Linked DNA regions of Oryctolagus cuniculus. The main gene of each other region encodes a partner of the protein of the gene in region 2 in a complex. Links are inferred from orthologs where the notes say so. Each region holds a gene or a part of one and is shown on either strand. Other genes may lie near its edges.

Region 1 (7,444 bases), about 16 Mb from region 2:
AATGTAACTTTAAGATTTGTGAATGCACTTTTTTTCTTTATGTTTGGCCTAGCTTGTTCCTCCAAGTCAATCCCTAAAGGCTCTCTGAAGCACTGTTTGAGTAGTTGGAAAGCCAGCATATTGGAAAGGGAGAGAAAGTAGAGGCGCAGAGCTAACCAGAATTGTAATGGGACTAAGCAAAGGAAACCATGAACCTCAAGGATCAAAACTTGGAGAATTTCTTAGTGAAAATAGTCCCTTGCCTTTGTGATAATGATATGATAGTTTTCTCAGCTGGAAAAAATATTCTCTGAAGCTGGTATGTACCATTTGGGGGCAGCAGGGAAAAGCTAAAAGCTCTTAAAGATCAGAACACTTCTGTTATTTGTAGATATGCTGCCTATGTACAAGGATTAGTATCTTTCATGCTGGGATGGGGAATAATACCAATTTTCTATAATGTCCAAAACTGATAAGATTGTAACTTTCCACATACTTCTCAATTCACTTCTCCTCTTTAATTCTGTAGGACTCTCTTGGCCTCCACTCATGTGAACCATAATATCTACATTACGGAGGTGAAGACCGGCAAATGTGTCCACTCTCTGATCGGGCACCGCCGCACGCCATGGTGTGTCACGTTTCATCCCACCATCTCAGGCCTTATTGCTTCTGGCTGCCTCGATGGGGAGGTTAGGATTTGGGATTTACATGTAAGTGTTTCCTTTGGCTACTATTTTCTGTGATCTTTTAAATGCATAAGATTGATTGCTGTCGGGTCCTTTATTCTGAGAAAGAGACAGCCAGGTTCTTTGGACATCTGAGTGTGGCAGTCATTGCTTAGTTAATTGATAGAAAGTCTAGCTCACGTTCCTCTGTTCTAAGGTGAATACCCATTGTTCCAGAGTACAAGAGGCGCTACGATGTGTTTAGGATGGATGGATTTCTGTTGTTTCAGAGCAAAGATTGTATTGTACTCTGATCGGGAGCATCAAAGCAAGATGTTTTGTGCCCTGGTAACTGGCTAGCGGGTCACTTGAGCCATCACTGCTGCCTCCCAAAGTCTGTTCTGTCCCAAGTTGTGCACCAAGCATGAGTATTTGCAGACCTGCAAAAACAATAACCTTGTTTATGCTCAGTGCTGTGGATTACAGATGACTTGAAGAACTGGCCTTACAGTTACATTTATCTGATAAATTAGTAACCCTGCCATTTCACTGATCTGCATTGCTTTACAGGGGATGTATTTAAAATAGACACCACAAGTAGTTTTCATTAACTGCACCTCTCTTGAGATTGACGTTCCCCTCTGCTGGCAACTTAAAACCTGAGAATATTTGGTGTTGGTTCTTTCACAGGGTGGCAGTGAAAGCTGGTTCACAGACAGCAACAATGCCATTGCCTCCCTGGCCTTCCACCCCACGGCTCAGCTCCTGCTGATTGCCACTGCCAATGAAATCCACTTCTGGGACTGGAGTCGACGGGAGCCATTTGCAGTGGTGAAGACAGCTAGTGAGATGGAACGGGTCCGGTGAGTGCTCTGCACAGAACTCACATGACAGAACATTTCTACGTGCTGCCACCTGCTTGTCTCTGTTTCAGGGGGGTTGCTATCCCTCTGGTTCCTCCTGCTTTCTGGTCATCTGTCTAATTGTCTTGGAAGCAGTTTATGTTCATTTCAGCTGTCCCTGTTGGCCCCAACTTAGGTCTCTGTAGACCACGTTCACTAGAAGGAATATAACCAATTTTATTTATTTATTTATTTGAGAGAGAGACAGAGAAAAGAGACACACAGAGACTCAGCTCCCATTTGCTGGTTCACTCCCCGCAGAGCTTACAGAGGCTGGGGCTGAAGCTGGGAGCCAGGAACTCAGTCCAGGGCTCTCGTGTGGATGGCAGGAACTCAGTCATTTGAGTTATCACTGCTGCGTCCCAGAGTCTGCATTAGCAGGAAGCTGGAATCAGGAGACAGAGCTGGGAACTGAACCCAGATACTCTGATTTTGGATGTGGACTTTTTTTTTTTTTTTTTAAGATTTATTTATTTATTTGAAAGGCAGAGGAGAGAGAGAGAGAGAGAGAGAGAGAGAGAGAGAGAGGGGTCTTCTATCTATTCCCAAATAGCTGCAGCAGCTGGATCTGGAGGATCTCCCACAGGGACCGAAGTACTTGGACCATCTTATTTTTTTTAAAAGAGTTATTTTTATTACAGAGATAGGTAGAGTTAGAGAAAAAAATCTTCCATACGCTGGTTTATTCCCAAATGACAACAATGGCCAGAGCTGAGCTGATCTGAAACCAGGAGCCAGGAGCTTCTTCCGGGTCTCCCATACTGGTACAGGAGCCCAAGGAGTTGGGTCATCTTCTGCTTTCCCAGGACATAGCAGAGAGCTGAATTGGAAGAGGAGCAGCCGGGATTCAAACTGGCGCCCATATGGAATGCCGGCACTGCAGGCTGGGGCTTTAACCTGCTGCGCCACAGCGCCAGTCCTTTTCTTCCTTTTTAAGATTTATTTTATTTGAAAAACAGAGTTACAGAGAGAGGGAGAGACAGGGTGATGTTCCATCTGCTGGTTCACTACTCAAATGGCCACAACAGCCAGGACTGGGTCAGGCCAAATCCAGGAGCCTGGAACTTCATCCAGGTCTCCCAAGTGGGCATCAGGGGCCTAAATACTTGGGCCATCATTCATTGCCTACCCAGGTTCATTAACAGGGAGCTAGATCAGAAGTGGAGCAGCCGGGACTCAAGCCAACACCTATCCGGAATGCCAGCAGCACAGGTGATAGCTTAACCTGTTGTGCCACCACTTCAGCCCATCTTAAGTGCTAGACTAAATATCCACTTCCATTATAATGTGTTTTTAAATTTTAAAGAGGTTGTTACTTTACTTAAGTGGCAAAGAGAGAAATCTGTCGTTGGCTGATTCATTCCCCAAATGGTTGGAATAGCCAGTGCTGGACCAGACCAAAGCCAGGAGCCAGAAACTCAATCTGATTCTCTCATGTGGGTGGCTGGAACCCAACTACTTGAGACATTAGTTGTTGCCTCTTAAGGTGTGCATTAACAGGAAGTTGGAATTGAGAGTGGGGCCAGGACTTGAACCTAGGCATGTCCACATTGGATGCAGGCATCCCAGGTGGTATCTTAACCAGTAGGCCAGATCCTTTCCCCATTATAATCTTTTTTAGGTTCAAAGCTGGCTGCATTTGGGATCTTTCTTTGAGGAAACCTGAAAGTGGTTTGGGTAGTATTTTAGAAAGCTTTGTGGATAATAACTCATCTTTGGTTGTCTGTGTTTATCCAGCTGGAAGAAGGAGTTGTAAGCATGTGTCTGGCAGCTCTGCTAATGAATATTTATTTAACCCTCAAGATCAAAACACATATTGCCTGAATTAAAGTTGATGCTTTGTCTTCCTTTGGCCGTGTTGGTATTGCAGTTGGTTATAAGTTAATTTTCTACGTTCAGCTTTGTTACTGTATGCTGAGACTGTTCACTGTCACCAGTATGACTGCTTTTTGAGGGAAGAACAACCTGTGGCAGCACACGGGAACATTTCATGCTTTACCGTTTGCTCTTAGGTATGAGGAGCAAATTTATTTATTTGAAAGGTAGAGTTGCAGAGTGAAAGAGAGACTTTTCCACCTGCTGGTTCACTCCCCAAATGACTGCAATAGCTGGAGCTGGGCGATGCAGAAGTCAGGAACCTGGAACTCCACCGTGTCTCTCACATGGGTGGCAGGAACACAAATACTTGGGCCATCCTTGCAGAATGGGAGGCCATGCTTTCCCAGGGGCCCAAGTAGCAAGGACCTGGATCAGACGCAGAGCAGCTGGGACTCAGACCGGCACTCAGGAAATGCCAGTATTGCAGGCAGCAACTGAACCCATTGTACTACAGTGCTGGCCCCCAGGGGGTTTTCAGAAGTGAAATAATTTTACTCTGGTCTTCTTATTGAGCCTTATTATTATTTTTTAAAAAGATGTATTTGAAAGGCAGAGTTACAGAGAGACAGAGGCAAAGAGAGAGAGAGAGAGAGAGAGAGAGAGAGAAAGTCTTCCATCCACTGGTTCACTCCCAAAAAGGCCACAACGGCTGGAGCTGGCCTGCAATCCAAAGCCAGGAGCCAGGAGCTTCTTCAGGTCCCCGACCTGGGTGCAGGGGCGCAAGGACTTGAGCCATCTTCTATTGCTTTCCCAGGCCATTAGCAGAGGACTGGATTGGAAGTGGAGCAGCCAGGACTTGAACTGGTGCCCATATGGGATGCCGGCACTGCAGGCAGCAGCTTTACCCACTACACCACAGCTCCGGCTTCAAGCCCTATTATTTTAATCTCTTGAAAATTTTAAGTCTTACATGAAGTGGATACCCAAGTAATCTCATAATTCCTGGTAATGGTTGCTATAAATTCCAACACAGATTTCCTCTTCTCAGTTGACATAATCTCTCTATGTGTGTCTCTGTCTCTTCTGTGATTTCAGTCTGGTGAGATTTGATCCACTTGGACACTACTTACTTACAGCAATTGTTAACCCCTCTAATCAGCAGGTAAGTTATGCTAGCAGTCCCAGCTTTTTTTCTAACCTTGTGTTCTAATTCTGATTATATTGGATTTTAATTCTCAGTGCCCAAGTCTTTCTTTCCAGTCGAGATTTAAATTAGCTTCAGGCTGTATATTTAAAGTTACAGCTATAATCCTAACATGAGAGACAGTTGTGAAACCTGGAAGTGATCACCTAGAAGTAACCATTGCAGTCACCAGGCACTGTTGGATGGCTTGTCATTCATATGCCTTGGACTGGTTGGTGTTTGGCTTCACTCACTACCTCCATATCATGGAGATGCCTTTCATAAGAGAATTGGCTTGCCAGCTGTACTCATTCAGATAAGTTGCTCATTGGAAGTGACTAGTTTAATACCCTATGATGATTCGGAATCTGAAGCCAGTTAGGTCTCTCTGCTTCAGGGGTAGAGAATTATTGCCTGTCTGTGAAGGTTGTTTGTCCTTGGCTGATTATCAGTAGTTAATTTTTCTGGATTGACTTGGAAGTTCTACCTAACTGCCTTGCCGTACGCCTGCCCCATGCTGGTCCACATTTGCAGGGTGACGATGAGCCAGAGATCCCCATGGATGGAACAGAACTATCCCACTACCGTCAGCGTGCCCTCCTGCAGTCACAGCCCGTTCGCCGGACGCCTCTCCTGCACAATTTCCTGCACATGCTGTCCTCTCGCTCTTCTGGCATCCAGGTGGGAGAGCAAAGCACAGTGCAAGATTCTGCTACCCCCTCACCCCCACCGCCTCCCCCTCAGTCCTCCACGGAGCGTCCCAGGACTTCCGCCTACATCAGGCTCCGACAGCGGGTCAGTTACCCCACAGCTGAGTGCTGCCAGCACCTCGGGATCCTGTGCCTTTGCAGCCGCTGCTCTGGCACTCGAGTTCCTTCCCTCTTGCCACACCAGGACAGTGTCCCCCCTGCTTCTGCCAGGGCTACTACCCCTTCCTTTTCTTTTGTACAGACCGAGCCCTTCCATCCCCCGGAGCAGGCCTCGTCAACGCAGCAGGACCAGGGCCTCCTGAACCGGCCGTCTGCCTTCAGTACAGTCCAGAGCAGCACTGCCGGCAACACGCTCCGCAACCTCAGTCTGGGTCCCACCCGGCGCTCTTTGGGAGGCCCTCTGTCTAGCCACCCTTCTAGGTATCACCGGGAAATAGCTCCTGGGCTGACTGGATCTGAGTGGACCCGGACAGTGCTCAGTCTGAACTCCCGCTCTGAGGCGGAATCCATGCCCCCGCCCAGGACCAGTGCCTCTTCGGTGAGTTTACTGTCTGTGCTGAGGCAGCAGGAAGGTGGCTCTCAGGCATCCGTGTACACTTCAGCCACAGAAGGGAGGGGTTTTCCAACTTCAGGGTTGGCAACTGAGTCAGAAGGAGGGAGTGGCTCCAGCCAGAACAACTCCGGCAGCATTCGCCATGAGCTCCAGTGTGACCTGAGACGCTTCTTTCTGGAATACGATCGGCTTCAGGAGCTGGATCAGAGCCTCAGTGGGGAAGCCCCCCAGACCCAGCAGGCCCAGGAAATGCTCAACAATAACATTGAATCTGAAAGGCCAGGCCCTTCCCACCAGCCCACCCCACACAGCAGTGAGAACAACTCCAGCCTGTCTCGTGGCCACCTGAACCGCTGCCGTGCTTGCCACAATCTCCTGACCTTCAACAACGATACCCTGCGCTGGGAAAGAACCACACCCAGCTACTCCTCGGGTGAGGCTGCGTCCTCTTGGCAGGTCCCCAGTACCTTTGAGGGCATGCCGTCGAGTGGCAGCCAGTTGCCACCTCTCGAGCGGACTGAGGGTCAAACACCCAGCTCCAGCAGGCTGGAGCTGAGCAGCTCTGCTAGTCCGCAGGAGGAGAGGACTGTGGGGGTGGCCTTTAACCAGGAGACAGGCCACTGGGAAAGAATTTACACCCAGTCCAGCAGACCTGGAACTGTGTCACAGGAGGCCTTACATCAGGACTTGCCTGAGGAAAGCTCTGAGGAAGATTCCCTCAGGAGGTAAGCGGTGGCTTCCTGTCGGCTCCTGCATCCTTTCCTTGCCTCCCTGCACCTCTGCCTGCAGTCCTGTAGATGCTGTGGCTGTCTCTGGATGACTGGGACCCATGCATCTGGTTTGGATGTCTCCATTGCATCATTTCGGAAAATTTTATTCTGGTGGCAGAGATAGGAAAGGGCCTAGCTATATGAGTCAGTTGGCTGTGCTATATCTATTTCTGGCTAAGCCTAAGGCTCTGGGTTTAGCCTTGAAAGGAGGGTGTTGATTAGGTTAGAAGGCATGAGGAGATGGAACCATTGACTTCCTCTGCCGGGTTTTTATTTTATTTTATTTTTATTTTTATTTTTATTTTTATTTTTTGGGCATTCTTGAAAGATTTTATTTGCAGGACTAGTTATTTTGGGACAAGAAAATGTCTGAGTATCTAGGAATAAGTACTAAAAGAATCCTGCTTGATATAGATTACTATATTGTTCCAGCTCTTTGTGTTGCTTTGGATAGCTGTTCACCTCTTAATCCTTAGCTTTTGGAACACTGCAGCTTGACAAAGAGAAAAAAAAGACAACATGCATTTATGTCAAGAAAAGGTGAATTTTAAAAATTTATTTATTTGAGAGACAGAGGGCTTCTATCTGCTGGTTTATTCCCCAGATGCCCACAGTGGCTAGCAATAGGGCTGGCCCAACCGGGAGCTAGGAACGCAATCCCAGTTTCCCATGTGCCAGGAACACAGTCACTTGACCCATCACTGCTACCTCCCAGGGCCTGCATTAACAGAAAGCTGAAATCAGGAGCGAAGCTGTGTAATGATCCCAGGAACTCTGGTATGGGATGTGGACATTTTAGACTCTACGTTAAATGCCTGCCCCAAAAAGATATATATATATATACACACACACACGCACACA
Region 2 (8,216 bases):
CCCTAGGATGACCTGGGCCCCCGCCGGGGGAAACTGTCCCTGACCGGCCAACAGCTCTGCTCTGTGAGGGATTCCCCTGTGAAGAGAAGGGGGGCCGCCCGGGGCTGCCACTCACCGGGTCACACTTGATCACCCTGGACAGGAAGCGCGTCAGCCGGTAGCAGGACAGGAAGCTGTTGGGGCTCCCCAGGTGCAGGCCTTGCACGGCGGCCACCACGCTGCCGGCCGCCACCATGGACGGCGGGTTGGAAATGAACTTGACGTCTGCAGCAGAGGGAGAGGGAGGGGGCCCGTGAGCGGGGGGTCTCCCCCGAGCACTGGGCGCAGCCTGGGCTGCGGGCGGGACAGCAGGGGACATGTGCTGTGGCGCTCACAACAGGTAGTCCAGCCACTGTGTAGGGCGGGCGTCAGCCCCAGACCTGCCCCTCAGGGGACCACATCCCGGAGGGACCGCCTGTGCAAGGCACCAGCCACCCTCCAGGCCACTGCGATGGGGCCTACGGGTTCCGGTCCCCCCGGCAGGGCTGGGCTCGGCTCTCCCGGCCACCTTGGCTGGGTAAAGCCAGCCCCACACCAGGCCCTCGGCTCAGGTCGGGTTTTTGGCCATTGCCCACCACCAGCAACGCTGGGCCCAATGCCCTGGACGGCCTGGGAGGCGGGGGTGGGGGACCCCAGGGATCAGGGTCCAGGAAAGAGCAGAGGGCTGTAGTGCTGCCCCCACCCTGGGCGCCCCTCTGCGGGCCTCCCTGCCTCCTGTGTGCTCACTCTGCGCCTGGCAGCTGGCTGGCCCAGGAGTTACTGGTGAGGGGCCCTGGGCTGGAGCTGGGCCAGGCTGTCCCCGCCTCCCTCCCTGGCCCCCGTGGCCACGGGGCTCAGGGGCGCAAGACCCCTTCCTGAACTGGCTTTGTTTGCAGGGGCGTCTTGACCTAACCCAGCCCAGCCCAGAGCAGTCGTGGGCTGTGCACTGGGCAGCCCAGCCCCCTATGCTGTGGAGGCCAGGGCCAGGCCCCGCTAGCTCCCATGGGGGCCGTCCCCCCACCTCAGCGGGAACCTGGACAGGCTGCACTCTAGCTGTGCCGCACGGGGCCCAGGCCTGCTGGCCGCTGACCGCACCCCAAAGGCGGGGCCTGTGCGGCACCCCTGCACCAGCTCGCCCGCCTCCCCACCAGCACCTGGGGTCCCGGCGGGGAGCTGTGGCCGCCATGTCTCCGTGCAGGGCGGCTGTGCGGGAGCCGGCCCTCCCATTATCTCCAGGGAAGTGTGTCTCTCCAAACCCACTTTCAGCTCCATAAAAGGCCGCCTACAGTCTGGGAGGCGGCCCTCGTGCAGCCCCGGCGGGAGACTGCCCGCCTGCCCGCCTGCCCCCGCGCCTGGCCAGGGAGGCCTCGCACGCTCAGGAGCCGGCTTCTGAGACCCCCCCGGCAGGACTGCGGCTTAGGGTGGGACACGGCTGCAGGCGGGAGGGGCCGGCCAGGAAGATGGCTGCGCCGGTCCGGGACTTGCTCTGGACCCCCAGGGAGGAGGCACACGCCAGATGTGGGGGGCTCCGTCCCCCTGTCTTCTGGGGTGACCCCTAGCCCGCAGGTGTGAGCCCAGACAGCTGTGATGAGGGAGGCCGGACCAGAGCCGGAGGTGGAGCCCAGCGCGCGGCGAGGGTGAGGCAGGTGGGCGATGCGTCTGTGCCCTCCCCCCACTGTCTCCAGGCCTCTGGCACTCAGCAGTGGGGCTGGGGGTTGCATGGGGGCGCAGCTGACCCCTCCAGGCTTCTGCAGGCGTGCAGGGTCTGGGGCCAGGGCAGTGCCACACCAGGCGCCAAGAGCAGCCAGGCCAGAGGCCCCTCCCAGGCTCAGCTGGGCTGGCCCCAGGCGCCCCTAGCGGGGCCTCAGGCGGCCAAGCTCCTCTGCTGGCCGCCCCCGCACTGGGGCTGCGCGCCTGCCACTGGCCACCCGAGCACGTGGTGCAGGCGCTGCCGGCCGCTCTCCCCTCCCCGCCCTTGTAGGCGCCCCTGGCAGGTGGCCCAGCCCGGGAGAGGCCAGGAGGGGCCCCCGCAGTCCAGGCTCCTTGAGGACACGGGGAGGGGTGGAGGTGGGTGGGGGCGGGCAGCCCGGCCGCAGAGGCAGAGCCGGCTGGGCACGCAGTGGTCACGGCTGCCAGGCGCGCCCAGCGCAGCACAGGGGGCCGTCGCTGGAAGAGGCCCCCCCCCGCCCCCAGGCAGGCTGGGAGAGCAGGCAGGCGGGGAGACCCCGGGGCCACCTCCCCTGGGCGGCGCGCGGTGGTGGGGCGCGAGGCCCTGGCCGGGGCGCCCCACCTGTGGCGCACAGGGCGACGAAGGTCTGCGCGTGCTTGCGGATGATCTGCTTGTTCTCTTCGGCTTCCGGCATTTTGGAGAGGAAGTGCTCGATGAAGTCGTGGGGGGTCATCGCGGCCAGGTTCCACTTGAGCTTGTTCACCAGGAGCAGTTCCATTTGCTGCGGGAGCGGGCGAAAGGCGCAGCGCGCGTCAGGAGCCGCACGCGCAGGGGTCTGCCCTCCGCGGGTTGGGGGGGGCCCTGGGGAGGAGGGCGGAACAGGGAGGGGCGCGCCCAGGGAATGCGGGGCGCGGTGGGGGAGAGGAACCCGCACACGGTCCCTGATCCAGACGGGAGGAGGCGACCGCGAGGCGACCTTGTGCAGGCAAGGACAAAAAAAGGCCACCTTCCGCCACCTGGAGCCCGAAGGCCGTCCGGGCTCGCGCCGCTAGGGGGCGCGCGCCGCCCACGCTTGCCCGGCCACGCCGCTGCCGGGCGAAAACTTGGTGGGAGCCGCGGACCGCGAGCGGCGGGCGCCGGCGAGGGCCGCCCCCAGCCCCGGCCCCGGCCCCGGCCCGGCCGCCCGCGCCTCTCCTCCCCGCGCCCGCCCAGCGGGGATCCCGCGGCCCGCAGGGCGCCCCCCGGGTACCAGCAGCTCGTCCGGCCGGATGGAGTTGTCGGTGTAAATGCACAGCTTTTCGGCGGTCAGCGGGATGGTCTCTTTCATCTTGGAGGCCACGAACATGCAGGTGGCCCCCAGAAGCTGCAGGCGGCTCTTCTTCAGGGGCTCCAGCGACAGGAAGCGGTCCAGGTAGTTCATGGCCAGCGGGAAGACCTCCTCCTCGCACTTCTGCTCCTCGCAGACCTGCGGGAAGACGCGGGGCCGTGACCGCCGCCCGCGCCCCGCGCCAGGGTCTCCGTGCCCGAGGGCGCCGGGCCAGGGGCCGGCGAGGGCTTCCCGGGGTGCGCTCGCCGCCACGCGCGTGCCTGGGGCCCACCCACCCCGAAACTGAAAGGGAAAGTCCCCGCGCGACCGGCGCGGACGCACGACCCCCAGGACCCCGGCCCGCGCGGGGTATCCGGGGCCGGCACCCGCTGGGGTTCGGGGGCTGGGGGCGGGCAGGGGGCCGGGGGCCTGGGGCCGCGGTGGCCCGGCGCAGCGCTCGCCCCGCGCCCGCGAGACACAAAGGTGGCGTCCCAGGCCGCCGCGCCGCATTTCCCCAGACGTCATCTTTTCAAAAAATATTTAAAAATATTAAAAAAATAACTGGGCGCGCAGAAGACCCCTGAAAATGACCCTCGGGCGGTGCTCTACCTGGGCCGGGGGCCGGGAGCCCGCGGCAGGCCCCGGGGGGAGCCCCAGGAACTCAAACTCGGGGACCCCCCCCTTCGCCTCGGGCGCAAGGGCACTGCGCCGAGCTGCGAGAAGCGGCTCAAAGACGCCCGCGCGCCCCTCGGGCCTGAGCACGCGCCCCAGGCCCCCGGCCCGCCCCGGGACGACCCCCGGAGCCGAGCCCCCCGGCGCCTCGGGGGCCACGCGACCTTGCAGCCCGGCGCGCCGCGTGGCCCACGCCGCCCATGTGGGGTGTCCCGGCGCCCGCCGCGGGGACAAAGGGGCTCCCCGGATTCCCGAGCCGGGTCCCTCGGAGCGGCCCGCGCCGCGGCCCCGCGCCCCTCCCGCAGGCTCCGGGCGGCCGTGCGGACCCTCGCGGCGGTCCCTCCGCGCCCCGCCGGCCGCTCCCCGCCCCCAATGATTAATAAACGCGTTAGCTTTGCAATAAAAGAGCAAAGATGGCGCGTAACACTGGCACGAGCGGCACTTGCATACGTGTCCGTGGGCATTCACCTAAAGATCCGACCCGCGCCCCCTCCCCCCGGGCCCGCGCAGGGCGCCCGGGCTGCACCCCGCACCCGCCGCGGTGGCCCCCGGCGCCGCCCCTCCCCCTGCGCCTGCAGAGGGGCGCGCTCCGGGCCGCCCCAGCCCCCACGCGCCCCTGCCCGGGTCGGAAGTTGCCCGCTCTCGGGGTTATTTATTCGGAAAACACGGATTCCGTAGCAGCGGCGCGGCCGGCACCTCCAGCATCCAGGTGGCCACGATCTTGCGCATGGACGGCAGGATCTCCTTCTGCACGCACTTGAAGTAGGACACGGAGGGCGCGCAGGTCTCCTCCGCCTTGAGCATGGCGCGCAGCACCCGGTCGTTGAGCAGGTTGGCGTCGGGGTAGGCGCGGCGCACGGCCTCCACCTCGGAGCACAGGAGCTGGTGCTCCATGGCCGGCCCGGCGGCGGGGTGCTGGGTGCGCGCTGGGCTCCGGCCGCCCGTCCGCTGCCGCGCCGACAGCGCTGTGCAGGCGCCGGGACTTTGCAACTTCCACAAAACTCCCCAGCAGCCCGAGTGACGCGACCGCTGTTCAGCGGAGATCAAAGCCGGGCAGAGAATGGGGGCGGGGGGCGGGGCGCGCGCGGGGGCGGGCGCGCGAGGGGCCGAGCCCGGGAGCCGTCCCGGAGCCGAGTGCTCATAGACATGCAAATCGCACCCCGCCGCCCGCCGGGGAAGCGGGGCGCAGGGCGGGGGCGGGGGTGGCCCCCGAGACCGGCGGGGTGGGGCGGGCGGCCACCCGCGTGGAGGGGGCAGCGCCACGAGGGCACCCCCGGGAGGCGCTCGCATCCCCTTTCATTTTCAGGAACACGTGTAGAATCGGGGCCCCGCGCGCTGGCGGGGACGCGGGGCGGCGCTGGTGCGGGGGGTCGGGGCCCACGCCCGTGGGGCGAGCCCCGCGCGCGGCAAGGGGACTGTGGCCCCTCACGCGTTCGCTCGGATAGTTAAAATACAGGCAGCCGCCCAAAATGGTGGCCGGCGCTGCCTCCGTCCCGCCCCTGGCGCCCGGGGCCGCCTCGTGTCCGCACCCGCCCGGCCTCGCGGGGGTCCCCCCGCACACCTCGCGCCCAGCACACGTGCGGCCACTGCGAGGCGGCCAAGCCACGATGCGGGTGCTGCTAACCGCCCCCCACCCCCCAGTTTTTTTAAATTAAAAAAATAATAAAAAAATCGCTGGGCACGGGAGTCGCTGATGCCGGGGACTACGTGCGACCCCCGGGCGCGCCCGCATCGGTTCTGGGGGCCCAGGGCGACCGGGGTGGGGGGGCTCGGAGTTTACCCTGGGGCCGCCTCCGTGGGCGACAGCGAGGAGTCGGCGCCACGAGGAGTCACGCGTCGGGCTATTTTGAAGCAGAAACCGGGCGTGCGTGGCCCCGGTCCCGCAGGGCAGAATGCATCACGCAGTGAGCGTAGTCTGTCCATTGGGCTCTTTGAGTTTTTTAAAAAGCTAAATGGACACTTTGCCCATTCTTGACTTTTTTAAAACTTTTTTTCTTTATTTTTAACAGCGCTTTCCTTAACTGGAGAAGCCCCGGGACTTCGGGGTGGCCCCGGGGGGATGGGCGCGGGCCGCGCCGGCCGCCGTTTCATTCATAAAATCGCAACGCGGCGGCGGCGCGGGCGAGCATGCGGCCGTGCGCGGGGCCCCGCGCGCAGCCCGGCGGGGCTCGGGTGGGCGCGCGCAGGCTGGCGGCGCGGGGCCCCGGGCGGCGCGCGCCCACGCGGGCCCTGGGCGCCCGCGGCCCCGCGGGGAGCCCGCCCCGCGCCCCGCGCCCCGCAGGAAGCTGGAATTAGCATGAGCCAATCGCCGCGCCGCGCTGTTACTAGGCGGACCCGGCAGATCTCCGCGCGGAACTCGGCGGCCGGCGCGGGCCAGGGACGGGCGCAAAAGTGCAAGCCGGGCCGCCGGGCGTGAGGCGCGGCGCCTGGGCGCGCGGGGCAGGCAGGCGGGGAGCGGCCCCGCGCGCACGGAGGCGGTGTTCAGCTTCTGCACTTATCGTCTGCCTCTCCAAATAATAACTTAAAAACTTTTCTTGCGGTGTCAGCGCCGCACTTGTTAGAAAAAAAAAAAAAAAAAACACACCACGAAGCTGGAGCTGCGCCCCGAGAGAGCTCTCGCTTCTGGGCGTCCCGTTGACTTGGAGACAAAGGGCCGGCGCCCCCCACCCCCGGGAAGCAGCCCCCACGTAACTCGGGACGCGTGCCCGCTCCCCCCCGCGCCCGAGCGCCACCGTCCCCGGCTGTGCGAACCTCTGTCCCGCGGCGCAGACCCCAGCACGCACCGCCCGGCGCGCGGCGCTGGGGACGGGGCGCGGGGCCCGGAGCCCAGGGGCCGCCCCGAGGCGGGCGCCTGCCCTTCCCCCCTCGGACCCGGGCGGGCGCGCCCAGGTGCGGTCACCTGCAGCCGCATACCTGGCAGCGGCTTCAAAGGGCTTGTTTGGCTCCAGCTCCGCGAGGTTTCCATTGTTAAGCCTTTAAGTCGCCCTGGAGGACGCTTCCGAAGGCAGGCCCCGCGGTTCCGGGGGCGCAGGGCTCCCCCACCCCCACTCGGCGCATGGCGGCCCACGTGCTGCGGACTCGGCCCGGCCAGGTCCCGGTGCCCACCCGGGACGGACGACGCCGCACCCCCCGCGCCGCGACCACCGCCTCCGATCAATTAATTGAAACCACACACAGACTACCCCGCTCCCTGGGCCCCGGGAACACGCGGGGCAGGCTGCGGGCGGGGACGGCCCTTTCCCGCTGTCCCCGGAGCCGCAGGCCTCCAGGGACGCCCACGGGCTCCCAAGGGGGAAGAAGCTGGGAGGGGGGGTTGGAGGCCGTGGGAAATCTCGCTCCTCGCCCCGCAGAACGCATCGCCAGGGGCCCCGTGAGCCACCCACACCCCGACGTCCCCAGGGGATCCCCAGATTCCGGCTCTGCACCCCCGCGCGGCTCGGACCCAGAGTGGGCGCCCACCTCCACCCCGCAGGCCACGTGCAGCCCTGGTGTCCCGCGGTCCTGCCGGGCTGGGCCGTCCCCGCGCGCGCCGCGAGGACGCGGGGCTCCTGGCCGCACTCCCTGGGACCCCTGGGGGCCACACTCGCGCTCCGGCCCTCGTGGGCTCCCGCGGCGCCCCCGCCCATTCCGGAGGCCCGGGGAAGGGTCCGCATTCCGCGCGCTGCAGCCCGCTTGCCAGGCCCCCGCGCCGGGGTCTTCGCTGAGGGTTTCCGGACCCTTTTCAAGGAAGTGGCGGAAAAGTCAACTTTTTCCCCAGATAGGAGGAGACTCTTGGCCTGCACCCCTGCCCCGAGGCCTCTGGAGCCCGCGTCGTGGGGGCTGGGAGGGCGGGCCGCGGGCTCGGGGCCCGTGGAAGGTTGTGGGCTCGCCGGGCCCGAGCCACCACCGCCTGGGCCGCGCTCGGTCCCCGAGCCCCGCTGGGGTGGCGGCGCCGGGCTAGAGGTGTCCCCACGAGGGCCGGGTGACCGTGCCGGGCCTGCGGTGCCACCACGCGAGCCAAGGGGAGGCGCGGGTGCGCGCCGTGCACCCTGCGCGCTCCCGCCGGGCCTCGGCTCGGCCGCCACGTGGTTGCCCTGTGCGCCGCGCTTACCGTAAGGCCTGGAGAAGGCGCGCACCCGCGGCCTCCGAGTGCGCGCGGACCGCCCGGGTGCCGGAGCCGCCTGCTCCCCGCGTGGCCCCGGGGCTGCCTTTTCTCGTGGTAGGGAGAGTCGTGGTGCCAGTGTGAGTCGGTGGGCAGTGTCCCCTGGGTGCGTCACGTTGAGGAACGCGACAAAACCGGACGGGCGACCGCCAGCAGCCCAGGAAACGGAGGAGCTGAAATGCCGGGAACTCCTTTAAATTATTTTTTAAAGATGCACTTACTTGAAAGGCAGAGGCTCCGAGAGAACTCCTGCCGGCTGGTTCACACCCCCACCCCTCACCCCAAATATCCGGGTAGGTGAAGCCAGAAGTCAGGAACTCCACCTGGGTCTCCCAACCCCAAGCACTTGGGCCATCCTCCGCTGCCTCCCCAGGCCCAGTAGCAGAGACGGGCATCCGGCATCGGATGTG
Region 3 (8,153 bases), on a different chromosome or scaffold from region 2:
AGTCAAAGAGTAATTAACAGGAGAAGGGAGGGGATGGAGCCAGGGACAGACCGCCAAATTAAGACTCCCCAATAGGAAGTGCTAGACAGTCGTGATCTTGGGAAGAATTCAAATGTTTTGGATGGACAAATGGATGAACCAGGAAAAGGTGCTGGGACCCAAGTGCCCATACAGGAAAGATGGCTGTGTTCGCAGCCCAGTGACCCGCAGAGGGCTTCCGTGGAAGATGGAGGCGAAGTGAGGACTGCTGATGGGCAAGAGAGCTCGACAAACTCCCACTTAGCCCAGGCTCTGGAAGGCTCACAGACCAACCAGCCCCTGCTTGGTAGCCATTGAAACCTTCACCTCTCCAGCCTCTTCGTTCGGATCTTGAAGTTTTCCTTACTGGTGTCCCAGCTGCCCTTGTAGCCAGGGCCCAAGCGTCGCAAGTATCCGAAGTGGAATGGGCACTGACATACTTCCATCTTGCCCTGACTCATGTGAACTCATCTTCAGGTCGGAACTCTTACATGACCACCAGAGTTGAGAACAGAACTTAGGGTGCAAGGAGTGGCAAATAGGGTAATAAAATGCTTACAGATTTTAGACAATTTCTCACAGACAAGATGCTCAATCTCTTTACTCCCATGTCCTCAAAGAGCTGGGAGATAAAGAAGTTGGAGCCAATAAGATAAGAAATCTACCTGTGTCTAGGTGTCTGTAGGCAGAGGCTATTTGGGAAAGGCTGTGTTCAGGGCGGTGATGAGCGCTAAGAAGGTGGTGTCTGGGGAAAAGAAAGCACAAGGCCCCCGAGTGAGTTACAAGGTTGGCAGGAGGCCAGAAGTCAATCTCGTGTATAGCAGTGGCCTGGGATGTTGGTGATGGTTATGGTGATCCCTCTACCTATTCATCTGAGGACAAAGGACACACATATCACATAGCACACACACACACACACACACACGCATCCACATATCACAGATTTGTAAACTCAACGCTGAAAAGAACCTTCAAGATCAAAGCCGATATTCCTGCCTCCTGCTCATCAATAACTTCTCTGCCTGACAGCACCCAGTCTATTGTAACACTCCCAGAGAGGGCTGGAAGCAGCCCGGACCGGGAAGAGAGGCAAGCACTACCTTGCCACAATTCCTGTTGGATTACTCTATTAACCTGCCTTCCACCCCTCTTCTAATTCCAGTCTGCCCTCAGATGGGCATTGTCTACTCCCTATAGGACCACATTTTATATACAGCCTTACCACTACTCCTAAGAGCCAGTGACGCAGACACCAAAACAAAACCCCACACACACACTGCAAGCAAGCGCTCAATGCAATTTTGTTGAATGAATGAGTGAAACAAAGACACAAATCCGATTGTTTTCCCACGGCCGCGGAGCCGTAAGGTGACAGCCCCACCTGCCACCGCCGACGCCCCTGCCCCCACCTCCCGCCAGCGTGGAGAGGCTGCGAGGCCAGCAGCCGGCCAGGAGCTCGGGTGCTCTGCCCTCAGCGTGGAGTCGGGAGCCGGGTGGCCCAGGTTGCCATGGCACCGCCTCGGACTCCACCCTCTCCCGTTCCCCCTCTCCCACCCCACCTCCCTGGCGCTGAGGTTATGGCAGCCAGTCACGTGCCCCGCCGCGTAACCACACCTCTGCTCCTCAGAGCAATGTCAAGCGGTCACGTGTGATAGCAACAGGTCACGTGGCTGGCATCCCCCCTCCGCCCCCTTTCCCCTCAGGGCCCCCCTCCCCGTCCAAGCCCAGCTCGGCCGCCCCTCTGCGCATGGGTGGCGGTCACGTGTCCCGAACGTCCGGCGCCCGCCCCGCCCTCCCAGTTTCCGCGCGCCTCTTTGGCAGCTGGTCACATGGTGAGGGTGGGGGTGAGGGGGCCTCTCTAGCCTGCGGCCTATGTCTATGGTCGGGCCCGGAGCGTCCAGGTGCCCAGGACCGAGCTCGGGTGTATGGCGCTGGAGGAACCAGCTCCGGGGCCCCGATAACGGGCCGCCCCTGCACCTCCCAGCCTGGAGTGAGGTAAGTGCAGCCCCTGCCCCCACTGGGGGCCAGTCCCGCCGCCGCCCCCTCCCCCCACAGCCGCTTCCCATGCGTGCGCTTCGCAGGCGATTTATGGGAGGGTCGCCCGCGGGCGAGAAGTGGGGCTTTTGTGGACGTGGGAAGGTGTAATTTCGGGGACCGGGGTGCGGGATCCTCGGCGCCAGGCGTGTGTATGTGTGTGATCTCCTTTGTGCTGGATGCGATGTTCCCAAAGGAAAGGGGGCTTTTACAAAGTGTGCGGCCTCACGTGGCTGGAGGGGTCGCTGTTGGAGTCATTGTTACCTGAGGCGCGGCGCGGCGGGCGGTCGCGGAGGGCGCGGGGTGCAGGTGGGGCCGTCTGTGCCATCCGTGTCGGAATCACTTTGTCCGCTGCCAGCTCAGGCCATCCCAGCTCTGGGAGAGCATGTGGTGCAGGGAATCTCTGTGTTCCTAGGGTCAACCCTGATCTGAGAATGGCTACCTCTCGCTACGAGCCTGTAGCTGAAATTGGTGTCGGTGCCTACGGGACGGTGTACAAGGCCCGGGACCCCCACAGTGGCCACTTTGTGGCCCTCAAGAGCGTGCGAGTCCCCAATGGAGGAGGCGCTGGAGGGGGCCTTCCCATCAGCACTGTTCGCGAGGTGGCTTTACTCAGGCGGCTGGAGGCCTTTGAGCACCCCAATGTTGTCCGGTGAGAGGAAGGTGCAGGGCCCGGAGTGGGCAGTCCAGGCAGGGGGGCTGTGGTGGTCAGGAGAGAGGTGGGGATCCTGGGGAGGTACACGATGAGGAGGCCATAGGGGAGTCAGAGGATCCTAGCTAGCGAGGGACCATTTGTTCTGGCCAGGCTGATGGACGTCTGTGCCACCTCCCGAACCGACCGGGAAATCAAGGTGACCCTGGTGTTTGAGCACGTCGACCAAGACCTAAGGACGTATCTGGACAAGGCACCCCCACCAGGCCTGCCGGCAGAGACCATCAAGGTAAAGGGCGGGGGCGGACACGGGGAGGTGGGTTGGGACCTTCTAGCAGAAGCCCTGGGCATTTCAGGCCTAATGCCTGGTTTCTTGTGTGTCTGTTTTTTTTCCCTTGCAAATCAGGATCTGATGCGCCAGTTTCTTAGAGGCCTGGATTTCCTTCATGCCAATTGCATCGTCCACCGAGACCTGAAGCCAGAGAATATTCTGGTGACGAGCAGCGGGACGGTCAAGCTGGCTGACTTCGGCCTGGCTAGAATCTACAGCTACCAGATGGCGCTTACACCTGTGGTCAGTAGAAAGATGTGGTAGCCAAAAATGGGCTCTGGTTGGGGGTAGGAGAAGGATTGCCCATAGCAGCTGAGAAATCATACTTTGTCCTTCCATCAGGCACTGGTGCTTCCCGGAAGCCCTGGGGGCCCTCACCTACTCTCGCTGTTTCCCTTAGGTTGTGACGCTCTGGTACCGTGCTCCTGAGGTTCTTCTGCAGTCTACATATGCCACGCCTGTGGACATGTGGAGCGCTGGCTGTATCTTTGCAGAAATGTTTCGTCGAAAGTATGGGACCCAAGTTCCCTGCACAACCTGAGTCCCCCGCCTTGTGCAGGAGCCACATGCATGCCTTGGCCATTTTTGTACTTGGGTGCTGTTCACCATCTTGCCCGTAACCAGCTCTGAGACGGAATCAGAGACTTCACATGCCTTTATTCCCCACACCCTCTAAGTCCCACTAAGCAGGACTCATGCCACCGCTGTCTCTGAAAGTGACTGCCACCTTGTATTCCTTCTCGCTCTAGGCCTCTCTTCTGTGGAAACTCCGAAGCCGACCAGCTGGGCAAAATCTTTGAGTAAGTGACCAGCCAGGGGGCAGAGAATTTTCCATTCTGAGTCCTCTCTCTGCTGAACTCGGAGTTAACCCACTGGCTCTGCCTGGGGACGGGAGCTGGAGAAGGACCCCTGTGACAGAGCTTTCGTGTCTCCCTAGCCTGATCGGGCTGCCTCCGGAAGACGACTGGCCCCGAGATGTGTCGCTCCCCCGAGCGGCCTTCTCCCCAAGAGGGCCCCGCCCAGTGCAGTCGGTGGTGCCGGAGCTGGAGGAGTCCGGAGCGCAGCTGCTGCTGGTACGTGCGGGCGTGGGGCGTGGGTATGGGGCGAGACTGGGCTGAGAGACGGCAGTATGTCCGGCCCCAGCCCGTGGTGGTTGAGGAGCAGTTCTTATTGCTGTTGGGAGTGGCCAGGTGCAGAGAGGGATACACAACATAGAGAATCCATCCCCAGGTCGTGTTGGGGACAGTCAGGGGAGGGAGAGAAGTCTTTGTGCTCCACGGTTTTCTGACCTTGGCCTCTACCCCCTAGGAAATGCTGACTTTCAGCCCACACAAGCGGATCTCTGCCTGCAGAGCCCTGCAGCACTCTTACCTCCACAAGGAAGAAGGCGGCCCAGAGTGAGCCGTGGACACCGCCAGCCACGCCCTTCTTCTGGACACTAGGGTGGCGAGAACCCCACAGAGAAAACCGCTCTGCCTCGTCTCTGCGGCCGGGCAGACTCCGACTTTTTACAGAGAATATTTTGCTACCTTGATGACATTCCCTTCCCACCCCTCCTTTCGAGGCCTATCTTCCTGCCCCCTGTTTCTCTACACTAAGGGGTATGCCCCGTCTTTCCCCCTTTCCTACCTTGATACTGGGGTCCTTTTTTATACAGGAAAACAAATAAGACAAAGAAATAAGGTCTTTTTTTTTTTTAATGTTTCTTTCTCTGATTGGCTTTGTCACTGGGAGATCTGGAGAAACCATGTGGAAGAAGGGACTTCCCTTAGCCCCTTAAAGAGTGTCCTGAAGTTAGACCCAGGGCCTGGGCAGCCACACAGAGCCCCTGCACTCACAAACGTGGAATTGAAATGGCTTTTATTTTTATATTCACTGAAATGGCTCAAACTGGGTCCTGTTTAGGCGTTCTTGGTGGTTTTCTCCTTGGCTCTGCCCCTGATTGACCTCCAGAGCCCAGCATGTGGGAAGGTGAAGAGGGGAAACAGCCCCGCCCCATGCACTCCCTGGAGCTGCCTGCATCCACTTGGGCAGACAGAAAGCTTTCTTTCTAGCCTGCAGTCTGGCTGCACCCAAGTCTGTCAAGCCCTGAAGCCTCACTGTTGAGTTGTTCTCAGGGGATGTAGCAAAGGGCCCTTCCTTTTTCTCAAACAAAAAGGGGCAGCAGACCCTGGATTTTCCCTAAGGGAAAAAGAAAACGCAGGAGAGCAGGCAGAAGGGGCCAGAGTCTCACAGGAAGGCACTGGGGTTGGCGCGCGGATCCTTCTGATTCCGGAATCTCATCGCTAGCCAGACACCAAGGATCTGTAGGGACAAGAGGAGCCACGAAGGCACGGTTCAGTTCTGAGAGGGTCAGACCTGCAGAGAAGGGGTGTACTTGAGGGAACGGGAGACTGTACCTCAGTAAAGCTGAAGAAGAGTCCCACGCCCCCCAGAATTTTCAGGGCTTCATCTGAATGCCTAAGGAGCTTCTCTCCACACATGGGGCATGCGGAGCTCCTGTTCTTGCAGATCTGAGGAGAAGGCGTGTGTTTGGAGAATGCAGAGACGCTGAGCTGCCTTCTCCAAATGTCTGGGGTGGCCACCCCTAGGAATTACTAGAATCTGACCAGTATCCTACAGCCTAGAAGCCCATTTAGCTAAATCTCCCCTCCCCCACCAGCAGTGCCTGGACACAAGGGAATTGCTAGAAAGAGGGGCGGTGGCATTCAAATCTGCCGGTTTCCTGCTTCCTCCCCGCTGTGCCTACCCCCAACTCACAGCATTGCAGGAAGTATCGTCTTGATACATGGTTGTGAGGTTGAACAAGCCACAACAATCAAAACTTCTTTCCAGTTCATGTCGGGTTTTGTTGCTCATGACCCACCAAGAAGCATTGATGACATCTGTCTGGAGGGTAAGGGCAGAGGGAAGTTCAGCTTCCCTACATCGAAGCTCAATTGAAGTGCCCCAGTTTCCCCGTTCTAGCAAAGGGAGACAGCATCGCTCTGGAGCACAATGGTGTCAGTTACAGACAATGATAGATGACCACCTTGGGTTCTCTAGATTGTCACGGGAAATTAACAGACATCCCAGAGGAAGCAAGTGCTTAAGTGCCTGGAAGCAGTGGGCCAAAGGGTGATGTTTGGGTAGTTGGGGCCAGACTAACAGGGAGAGCTAAAGGTTAAGGAAAATCGAGGACTTGAGAAGGAATCCCACTTGCCCCCTTTACCTGTTTGCTTCGGTTAATAGCCAGACATGAGCAGGAGATTCCAAACTGGAAGATGAACACCAAACCAAGGATGATCATGTACTGAGAGTAAGAGTTACGGAAAAGACCGAGGTTCCTTTATGCTCCATCTAAAATAACCACCTGGTCTTACAGACTTTTATATGTTCATGTCAAGTTGAAAACAATGAGACCAGCATTTGTGTCACAGATTATGGTCAGAGCCCTGAGGTCCCCCAACTTCTCCCAAGAGCTGGGAGGCCCCCATCACATCAAGTCAGGATACAAAGAAGAGCAGGACTTGGTGGTGGTTGACAGCACCCACCAGTCCGGCCACTGCAATGAGGAGAAGGAAGACTCCCACAGCAATGACTCCACCGATGATGTGGATGCTGGACACCAGACCCAGGCCCTTACCCCAGGCGGCCACGCCAATCAGCAGCAAGCCCACGAGCTACAAGAAACAGCAGCATTCATCTCAACGAGGCCTGGCATGCAGCACGGTGGATGGCAATTACAAGGGGGCCTAGGCAAAATAGGAGATTCAAGTTTGTGACTGGGGGACGAGGTGCATCCCTGGGCGCTCCTCCCAAAGGAGGTCAGGATGGCGCGAGGAGACCGCATAGTCTCTGAGCGTAAAAACTGAACTGGCCGCGTGGTCCATGATTAACATTCTGGGGAGTAACAGGTTCACTAAAGGGAGGGGTGGCACTTCATACACACAGCCCTGGCCCTGTTCCCCACCCACCACCCTCCGAAAAGACCCCTCACTACCGGAAGTCTACCCTCATCCACGGAAGTCCCCAGGAATCCCCCTCTTCGCCGGAAGTTCTTGAGGCTCTTCCCGGAACCCCCAGTGCACCCCTCTCCCCACCGGAAGTCCCCTGGAGATTCTCGCCGCTCGCCTCTCCCCCCGCTGACGCTTCCCCCACCTCGGAAACCTCACCATGTAGACCACGTTGAGCGCGCACAGCGCATTCTTGGAGCAGGCAAAGCCGCCGCAAACCATTGCCCCAGTGCTGGGGACCCAAGCGGTCCCAAGGACTCGGGGGGAGGGTATTACGAGCCGTCTTCTAGGTGCCCGACAGCTTCTGTCTCTTTAAATCCAGGCCAGCCAAACCCAATTCTCTGAGCCTGCACCGTCCCACCCCCTGCCTCTGGATTGACGGCGCCCGCGGCTAATCCCGGACGTCTGTGGCCTGAATGCCAATCAATCTACATGACGTCACCGAACCGCCTCCCGGCCCCTCCTTTAGATTCTTCATTGGTTGAGCCTTAACACTGGAGGCAGGGCTTCTGGAGTCTCGTAGAGACCGGAGCCGAAACTTCCAAAGCCCGGGTTGAAAGCGGAGTTTCCGCGGCTGTGGTAGGACTGGAGGGAAGGCTGATCCGAGGCAAGAGTCTCTAGAGAAGCTCCGGTGAAGGGAGAGAGAGGAAGTGAGGCTCCGAGAGCCTGGCGAGAGGGCTCGCCCCTCGAAGGAGGGCGCGTCCCCGCCTCGTTCCCCTTGTCCGGCGGTGACCTCATGATGACGCCACCGTCTTGCTGCTATTGCCTCACTCGTGGGAACACCCGAAGGAGCCGGAGATTGGACCACTTAGCCTGGTCACGGAGACCTCGAGTTGAGGCCGTCTTAGGTTTGTGCGTCCTCTGGTGCACATGTTCCGTTCCCCGGCGCCTTCCGACGGGCTGCGACGGAGCCAGGAATTCAGGGTGGGGAACAGCGGCCTGGAGCCAGCAGAGTCCTGGGAGTGACCGAGCCACAGGCGCACACGCAGGGCGGGCTCGACCGCTCCGGAGCGCGATCTTGATCCAAAGCTGGCAAAGGGACGAAGCTGGGAGGCGAACGGGGTCTCCACGTTTTTACTTCCGAGACAGGCGTGGCGGCTGGTTGATAACTGACTAAGCGCTT
Region 4 (6,210 bases), on a different chromosome or scaffold from region 2:
GCACGGCATGTTCCCAGGGAAGCCGGGACACTCAGAGGTCCAGGAGCGGGTGTCCGGTCCCCACTCCGCGGCGCACCATCGGGAACCTGGAGGGGGACGGGCCGTCGCAGGGGTTCCACCCACGGCTTCCCCGCCGCGACTTGGAGGACCCCGGCCCAGCCTGCCCTTGGGCCCGGCCCTGGAGCCCCGGGCGAGAGCGGAGCTCGGTACCGCCGAGCAGTGGGACGCGCCGCCCCCAAGCTCGGGGCCAGGGGACCGTCAGGAGGGGTCGCATCGCGGCCGGGTGGGGCTTCTGGGGGCGGGGGGCGCGGCTGCCTTGCGCGCGGGCGGGGCGCCCGACCTGGGCTGAGCGCAGCAGGGGGTGGGGGTGCGCTCAGGCACGGGCTCGGGCAGCGGCCCCTCGCGCGCCCCCCGCCGCGGGCGCTCCGAGACCCTGCGGCCGGACCGGGCCCTCGGGGGCGCCGAGACTCCTTCCTCCCAGGTTCCCGCCCTCCACGTCGCGGTTCGGGGAGGACTTTCGAGCGGTTTTGTTTTCTTTGCGGCCGTCTATTTTTATTTTCCAGGGATCTGACTCATCCCGTGCTTTGGGCGTGGAGATAAGGTGGAGGGGCCAGGTCCCGGCGCGCCTGTGCATGCGCAGGGGCCGCGCGCGTCTCCGAGTCCGCCGCCCCGGAGTGTCCGTGCGCGCGCGTGGGGTCTGTGTCTCTCAATGTGCCTACCCGTGCGTCTGCGGCTGTGTCGGTCTCTGCGTGTCTACCTGTCGGCGCGCCCCTGCGTGTGTGTGTGTGTGTGTGTGTGTGTGTGTGTGTGTGTGAGTCGAGTGTGCGGACGGCTCAGCGTGACGTGTTTGCGGCGCGGGCCCCTCCTGCCCTCCCCGCCTCGGGTGACGCGAGGCCGGAGTGGAAGCGAAGTCCCGGCGGGCGGGAGCGCGGGGCAGGAAACTGACTCATCACGGCCGCTCCCGGCGCCCGGGCCCTGCCCACGCACCGCCCTCCGACGCGGAGTACCCTGGGGCCCGGCGCCCCCTGCCGGCCCCGGCGCGAAGGGCCAGCCAGCCCCGCGAGCCCGGGGCGCCGCTCGCAGCCTCCCCCCACCACCCAGGCAGCGCCCCACGGCCGTGGGCTCTACAGCACTTACTGAGCCCCTACGATTCACTGGCCAGCTGGGGGCTGAAGCCTGAGGCATCCCCGGGGAGGTTCCCCTCGGTGGCCTGGGGAGGAGAGACCCAGGAGAGGACAGCGCTGGTGGGAGGGGGCGGTCCCGCCCCCCGCCCTCGCCCATGGGGCACCCACGCAGCGTCCTTGTCAGACCCACCAGTGTGTTCCCCTCTTGGCTGGCACCTCAAGAGGGCCTAGCTGGGTGACGGTGCCAAACACCGACTTAAATCCCCTTCTGTTTGAACTGAGTCGCTCGGGTGGGGATAGGGGGTCGATGCAGATTTCTAAAAAGTGCCCCCCAACCGTGGGGATTCTGGTGGGCCTCAGAACTGGGGAAGGGGGCCAGGAACCCAGGATGACCGCTTGCGGGCCTCGATTCAGTGACTACCCCAGCCTTGGTCCCCACTTCTCTGTAAAGGAGCTCATTCAAATCCAGTTTTTTGGAGGATGGCTGTGCCCTGGAGAGGGTGGACAGCGGTTACCGGAGCCCTTTGCGGCTGCTGCCCTGTGGGACCTGTTTGGGGGGCAGTGGCCTTTTGCCTTTCTAGCTGTGCGGTTTGGGATGCAAGTCTCATCTCGTAAAGCAGCTGCCCTTTGAACTTGGCCTGAGGTCACTGGGTGACTTTCCTCTCCAGCCAGCTGCATGGTGGAGCTAGGGGCTGTGCTCAGGGTGGGAGGGGCCGTGGGGTAGGTGTGGCAGGTGTGGCTTCAGCAGAGCTGTCCCCCCCAGAGCCTGTGAATCTGGTCCTGTCCCCAGGAAAAGCTGGAGTCAGGCCAGAGCAGGGCGCCCTCGCGAGCAGACTCCCCCTCACTTTTCCGGAGTGGGAGGTGTGCAGCCTGGGTGGACCAGCCATCTTTCATGTCCATTGCCCACAAAACGGGTTTCTTGGAGGCAGGCAGGGCTGTGAAGGGTCCAGACTTTGGCTCACCTGGTGTGCCTGGCAGGATGTGGCTCAGCCGGGGGAGAGACCGCCACCCCGCCCCACCTTCCCCCGAGGCCACCCACCTGATGCCATCCTTGGGAAAGGCCCCCAGCCTACGGCACCTGTCAGCTGCCGTCTGGAGGGGGAGAGGCAGGGAGGAGGCCCAGCCAGAGCTGCAGGCACAGAGGCGTCCTAACACCACGGTCTTCTCAGCGCCTTGGCCAGGTGCTGCCCAAGCATGTCCCCCACCTCTGAGACTGTTGCTGTCACCGGCCTCTTCCTAGAGAGGAGGAAAGGGGAGCGCAGAGACGCTAAGCCACTGGTCGGGGTCGCCCCGCGGAGCCTGCCCTCCAACCCAGCCCCTGTCACACCTGCTGCTGCTCGGCCTGCCTGGAGGGACTCCTGCCCCCACCCTGGCACTCTCTCAGCTTCCATAGACCAGGAAACGGAGGCCCAGAGACATGCAACGTCTACGTGGGAAGCCGTGGGGCTGGGATGACAGCCTGCGTGTTTTTACTCCAAAGCCCGGGGTTCACTTTTCCAGGCAGGAATGATGGGGGAGGTTGTGTTGGGAGGCTGGAGGAGCCCCTGCCTACGCCTCCCTCTGGGAACCGACTTCCTGGCCAGGACTATCACTGGGAAACTACTGGACTCTGGCAATTCACACCCCTGAGGGCCACCTCAGGGGAGGACAAATTGATTTTAGCTGATAACGCTGATGGCAAACAGGACCCTGCTCCCGGCCAGGCCATTGCAGTGAGGTCATGCTGTGGACATAAGCTCGCCCCGTGCTGCCCATGCCCCCATTGACGTCAGGGTGCCTGGCTGGCTGAGTTCTGCCCCCACCTGGGGTCTGTTGGGGGGTGGGGGTGGATGCCCCGCCCCAGCCAGGGTGCGGTAGAAAGTCCTTGTTGGGAACCGGGAAGCGTCCTCACCAAGGCCACCCTTCCACTGTCCCAGCCCTAGGCAGCATGTCGCAGCCGTCGGACGAGGCGCCACAGCCCCCGCACAGGAGCAAGGCTTGCCGCCGCCTCTTCGGGCCCGTGGACAGCGAGCAGCTGCGCCGAGACTGCGACGCACTCATGGCCGACTGCCTGCAGGAGGCCCGCGAACGCTGGAACTTCGACTTTGTCACTGAGACGCCGCTGGAGGGCAACTTCGCCTGGGAGCGCGTGCGGGGCCTGGGTCTGCCCAAGCTCTACCTGGCCCCGGGGCCCCGGGGTGGCAGGGAGGACCCGGCAGGGTGCAAGCGGCCGAGCACCTCAGCCGCCCTGCTGCCAGCGGCTCAGGAGGACCACGTGGACCTGTCGCTGACCTGCACCCTGGTACCTCGCTCCCCGGAACGGCCCGAGGAGTCCCCAGGCGGGCCTGGTACCTCTCAGGGCCGGAAACGGCGGCGGCAGACCAGCCTGACAGGTGAGGTCGGGTGTGGGGAGGGATGCTAGGGGGGACTGGGGCCCTCGGAACCCCCCCATGCGGGACCTGTCCTGTTTGCTTCAGCTTGTCCCCGAGAAGGGAAGCCGCCTAGGTGAGGCTGCACACAGGGCTGTAGCCAGCGTTTGTCCAGGGCGTATTTATTACCCGGCAGTCCTTGCTGAGCGACTGAAGACAATCTTGCTCCCCTTCCAAGGAGACGAGGCTCCGAGAGGGAGAGATTGGCCTGAGGTCGCGCAGGGCGTGTGCTGGGGAGAGGACACTGGCCGTAGCGCCATTCTGGCCTCTGCAAACTTTATTCCCTCCCCTCATCACACACGCGTCCCTCCCTCCCCCCACCTATCCGCCGTGTCCTCGTCGGCATTTTTCTACCCTGGATCCACTGTTCCTTCTGACCTTGACACGGGCCGTCTCTCCCACTAGCATATCAGCCCCACAAAAAAGGGATCTGGGCGTCTCTTGTTCATTGTGGAGTCCCCAGCCTGGAGAGCAGTGTCTGGTGGAGCAGGTGCTCCATGAAAGGTGAATGAGTGATGCTGGCATTTGGTCACCTATTACGCCGGGCCCTGGACCAAAGCCTTTAGAGAGACCATTGATTTCCTCCTTAGAGTGCACTCCCACGGAGAAGCCTCATTTGCAATTTATTACTTATTCATTCAAGAGACACAAAGAAAGCTTCCTTCTGCTGGTTCCCTCTCCAAATGTCCTCAGTAGCCTGGGTTGGGGCTGCAGGCAGGAGCTGGGAATTCAATCCAGGTCTCCCACATGGAACGCAGGAAACCGATTTCTTGGGCCATCAGCGGCTGCCCGGAATTCCAGAGTCGGCATTAGCAGGAAACTGGAGTCGGGAGTGAGAGCCGGAATAGAAGCCAGGCACCCTGGTGTGGGAGGCAGGCATCCTCCTTGCTGGGCTGGAGGCGCACTCCCACGCCTCGTTTTGTAGGTGAGGCAGCTGAGGCTGAGGGGTGCAGACGAGCGTCCTGTGGGCCATTTTCAGTTGGGTCTGAACTGATGGTGATGACAATGATGACTCCTGTGGACCTGGGCCAGGACACTTTCTGTGGACTGGTGGACTGCCTCCCACAGCGCTGACCAGCAGAGTTCTATGCAGGGGCGGGCCTGTCCAGTGCAGGGGTCCCTGCGTCCCAGGAACCAGATCTTTGCTTGTGCTGGATTTGAGTCCCCGGAAATAGCCACGTAGAAGTAGCGGCTCCTGCTCAGGGCAGTGTGGCCCAGACCAGACTCATGGACAGTCACATCAGTGAGGCACAGGGGTGCTCCCTGGGTTCTTCCCCATCCCTTAGCAGGGTGTCCCTGCCTTAGGGGAGGCTGTCCCAGCCTCTGCACAGTAGACTTTGGGCGTGTGACTCAGTGGCGCCCCCTCGTGGCCTGGCTGACTCCATGTCTCTCTCTCTCAGATTTCTACCACTCCAAACGCCGACTCGTCTTCTCCAAGAGGAAGCCGTAATCCGCCCGCCAGAGGCTGCTGGCTCCTGGAAACAACAGGGGGGCCCCCCGAAGGCCCCTTGCACATCTCTGCCTTCATCTGCCCTTCAGTTTGTGTGTCTTAATTATTATTTGTGTTTTAATTTAAACTCCTCCTTGTGTACATACTCTGGCAGCCCCTACCCCCAGCCTCCGGCATTAGAATTATTTAAAAAGAAATTAGGCAGTAGAGTGATAGGCGCCCGAGTGCTGGGTATTTTTATTATATGAACTGTTATTTAAACCCTTTTTCCTCCCTGTGCTGTCTCTGTCCCCTCCCTCCCAGGGGTGAGCTGGTGCTGGCTCGGGGCCAGTTGCCTTGTCCTGCCCGTGCGGCCATCCTTGCCTCCTCCGTGGGTGGTGCTGGGGCCCGGCTCCTGCCCCTAGCCTCAGCCCTCCCCTGCGTTCTCAGACCCAGTTCCTTGAGAAGGGCGTGGATAGCACTTTGAAGGAGGGGTGTGGCGTCATCGGAAGCTCTGGAGTCCCCTCACCTCCTCTAAGGTTGGGCAGGTGACTCTGAGATGGGCACAGCCTGCACGGGCCTGGGGCTCTGTGCCCTCCTGGCCCATGATGCCCCCTTTGTCCTGGGAAGGCTGGGGGAAGGTGAGGTCCCCGAAGCAGCCTCGCCCCGCCCCGTGGTGCATCCCGTTCTGGGCTCCCACGCACTGTCTGGGGCCTCGGCTGCCCAGCCCTGTCTCCTGCTCTCCCTTACCCCCGTCCTGCCCCTCCGGCGCCCTCGCAGCCCCAGGTAGCGCAGCCCAGAAGGGCGGGCAGGTAGGCAGGCAGGTGGCAGGAGCAGGGCTGCCCGGTCGGCCTTTCGCAGCGCTACAGGTGGGGTCCAGTGTTGTGGACAGGCCTCCTCTAGTGGGATCTGTGTGGGTAGGGGGGTGCTGGAGGCAGAGGGTTTTCTAGGAGGGAGACCCCAGTCCCCGGAAGTCATCCCATATCTAACCCGTCCCTCCTTATTTCATTGCACTTTGAGTAGCGGCTGAACAAGGAGCAGCTCAGGGCAGGGGAGGCTGTCGAGGGCACACGGATTGGGCCGCTATGGCTCCGAGAGTGGGGGCTTTGAGTCCCTGGGCACTTCTGACCCCAAACACCTTCCAGCTCACTCTTGGGACATCTCCCACTCCCCACGTGTCCTAGTGCCCTTGTCTCTCCACCTAGGCCTCACACCTCCCGTGGGCAGGGACCACATCCTGCATGTCCCT

The links.
Region 1: the proteins of CCND1 (region 2) and AMBRA1 are in contact, whole or in part, in a cryo-EM structure (PDB 9IVD), measured with the Homo sapiens proteins. The link is inferred for Oryctolagus cuniculus from reciprocal best matches to the Homo sapiens genes CCND1 and AMBRA1. Residues at the interface, in NP_444284.1 of Homo sapiens: Thr286, Pro287, Thr288, Asp289, Val290, Arg291, Val293, Asp294, Ile295; in NP_001354397.1 of Homo sapiens: Arg54, Ser55, Phe57, Val73, His75, Arg96, Thr97, Trp99, Leu116, Ala139, Arg184, Ile945, Asn1012, Asn1029.
Region 3: the proteins of CCND1 (region 2) and CDK4 are in contact, whole or in part, in a crystal structure (PDB 2W96), measured with the Homo sapiens proteins. The link is inferred for Oryctolagus cuniculus from reciprocal best matches to the Homo sapiens genes CCND1 and CDK4. Residues at the interface, in NP_444284.1 of Homo sapiens: Leu6, Cys7, Cys8, Glu9, Val10, Thr12, Ile13, Ala30, Lys33, Ala34, Thr37, Phe108, Lys112, Met113, Glu115, Pro118, Leu119, Thr120, Ala121, Leu138, Gln139, Glu141, Leu142, Val145, Asn146, Lys149, Trp150, Asn151, Leu152, Ala153; in NP_000066.1 of Homo sapiens: Gly45, Gly48, Leu49, Ile51, Thr53, Val54, Arg55, Val57, Ala58, Leu59, Arg61, Arg62, Ala65, Phe66, Asp76, Val77, Cys78, Ala79, Arg82, Ile87, Val89, Asp129, His132, Ala133, Asn134, Cys135, Ser285, Phe287, Arg288.
Region 4: the proteins of CCND1 (region 2) and CDKN1A are in contact, whole or in part, in a crystal structure (PDB 6P8H), measured with the Homo sapiens proteins. The link is inferred for Oryctolagus cuniculus from reciprocal best matches to the Homo sapiens genes CCND1 and CDKN1A. Residues at the interface, in NP_444284.1 of Homo sapiens: Met56, Ile59, Thr62, Trp63, Glu66, Val67, Glu70, Glu92, Lys95, Lys96, Ser97, Arg98, Leu99, Gln100, Leu101, Ile126, Tyr127, Thr128, Asp129, Ser131, Arg133, Glu136, Gln139, Met140, Leu142, Leu143, Asn146, Lys147; in NP_000380.1 of Homo sapiens: Ser15, Lys16, Ala17, Cys18, Arg19, Arg20, Leu21, Phe22, Gly23, Pro24, Val25, Ser27, Gln29, Leu30, Asp33, Cys34, Asp35, Leu37, Met38, Cys41.

What each region holds. Positions count from the first base shown.
Region 1 is NC_091432.1:19,382,976-19,390,419, forward strand, and holds part of AMBRA1 (activating molecule in BECN1-regulated autophagy protein 1), read left to right. Parts: intron 1-508; coding exon 509-692; intron 693-1,337; coding exon 1,338-1,510; intron 1,511-4,462; coding exon 4,463-4,529; intron 4,530-5,084; coding exon 5,085-6,538; intron 6,539-7,444. UniProt on the Homo sapiens protein: Substrate-recognition component of a DCX (DDB1-CUL4-X-box) E3 ubiquitin-protein ligase complex involved in cell cycle control and autophagy.
Region 2 is NC_091432.1:3,245,201-3,253,416, forward strand, and holds the start of CCND1 (G1/S-specific cyclin-D1), read right to left. Parts: upstream 4,708-8,216; 5' UTR 4,560-4,707; coding exon 4,362-4,559; intron 3,153-4,361; coding exon 2,937-3,152; intron 2,469-2,936; coding exon 2,309-2,468; intron 265-2,308; coding exon 116-264; intron 1-115. UniProt on the Homo sapiens protein: Regulatory component of the cyclin D1-CDK4 (DC) complex that phosphorylates and inhibits members of the retinoblastoma (RB) protein family including RB1 and regulates the cell-cycle during G(1)/S transition.
Region 3 is NC_091442.1:60,318,116-60,326,268, reverse strand, and holds CDK4 (cyclin-dependent kinase 4), read left to right. Parts: upstream 1-1,760; 5' UTR 1,761-1,765; coding exon 1,766-2,013; intron 2,014-2,467; coding exon 2,468-2,704; intron 2,705-2,857; coding exon 2,858-2,993; intron 2,994-3,110; coding exon 3,111-3,278; intron 3,279-3,435; coding exon 3,436-3,545; intron 3,546-3,784; coding exon 3,785-3,835; intron 3,836-3,972; coding exon 3,973-4,108; intron 4,109-4,343; coding exon 4,344-4,436; 3' UTR 4,437-4,714; downstream 4,715-8,153. Other genes in the region: TSPAN31 (tetraspanin-31), read right to left, coding at 5,265-5,339, 5,435-5,548, 5,796-5,924, 6,247-6,327, 6,530-6,697, 7,190-7,252.
Region 4 is NC_091436.1:132,892,822-132,899,031, reverse strand, and holds part of CDKN1A (cyclin-dependent kinase inhibitor 1), read left to right. Parts: intron 1-568; exon of another isoform or gene 569-695; intron 696-3,040; 5' UTR 3,041-3,051; coding exon 3,052-3,496; intron 3,497-4,932; coding exon 4,933-4,982; 3' UTR 4,983-6,210. UniProt on the Homo sapiens protein: Plays an important role in controlling cell cycle progression and DNA damage-induced G2 arrest. Involved in p53/TP53 mediated inhibition of cellular proliferation in response to DNA damage.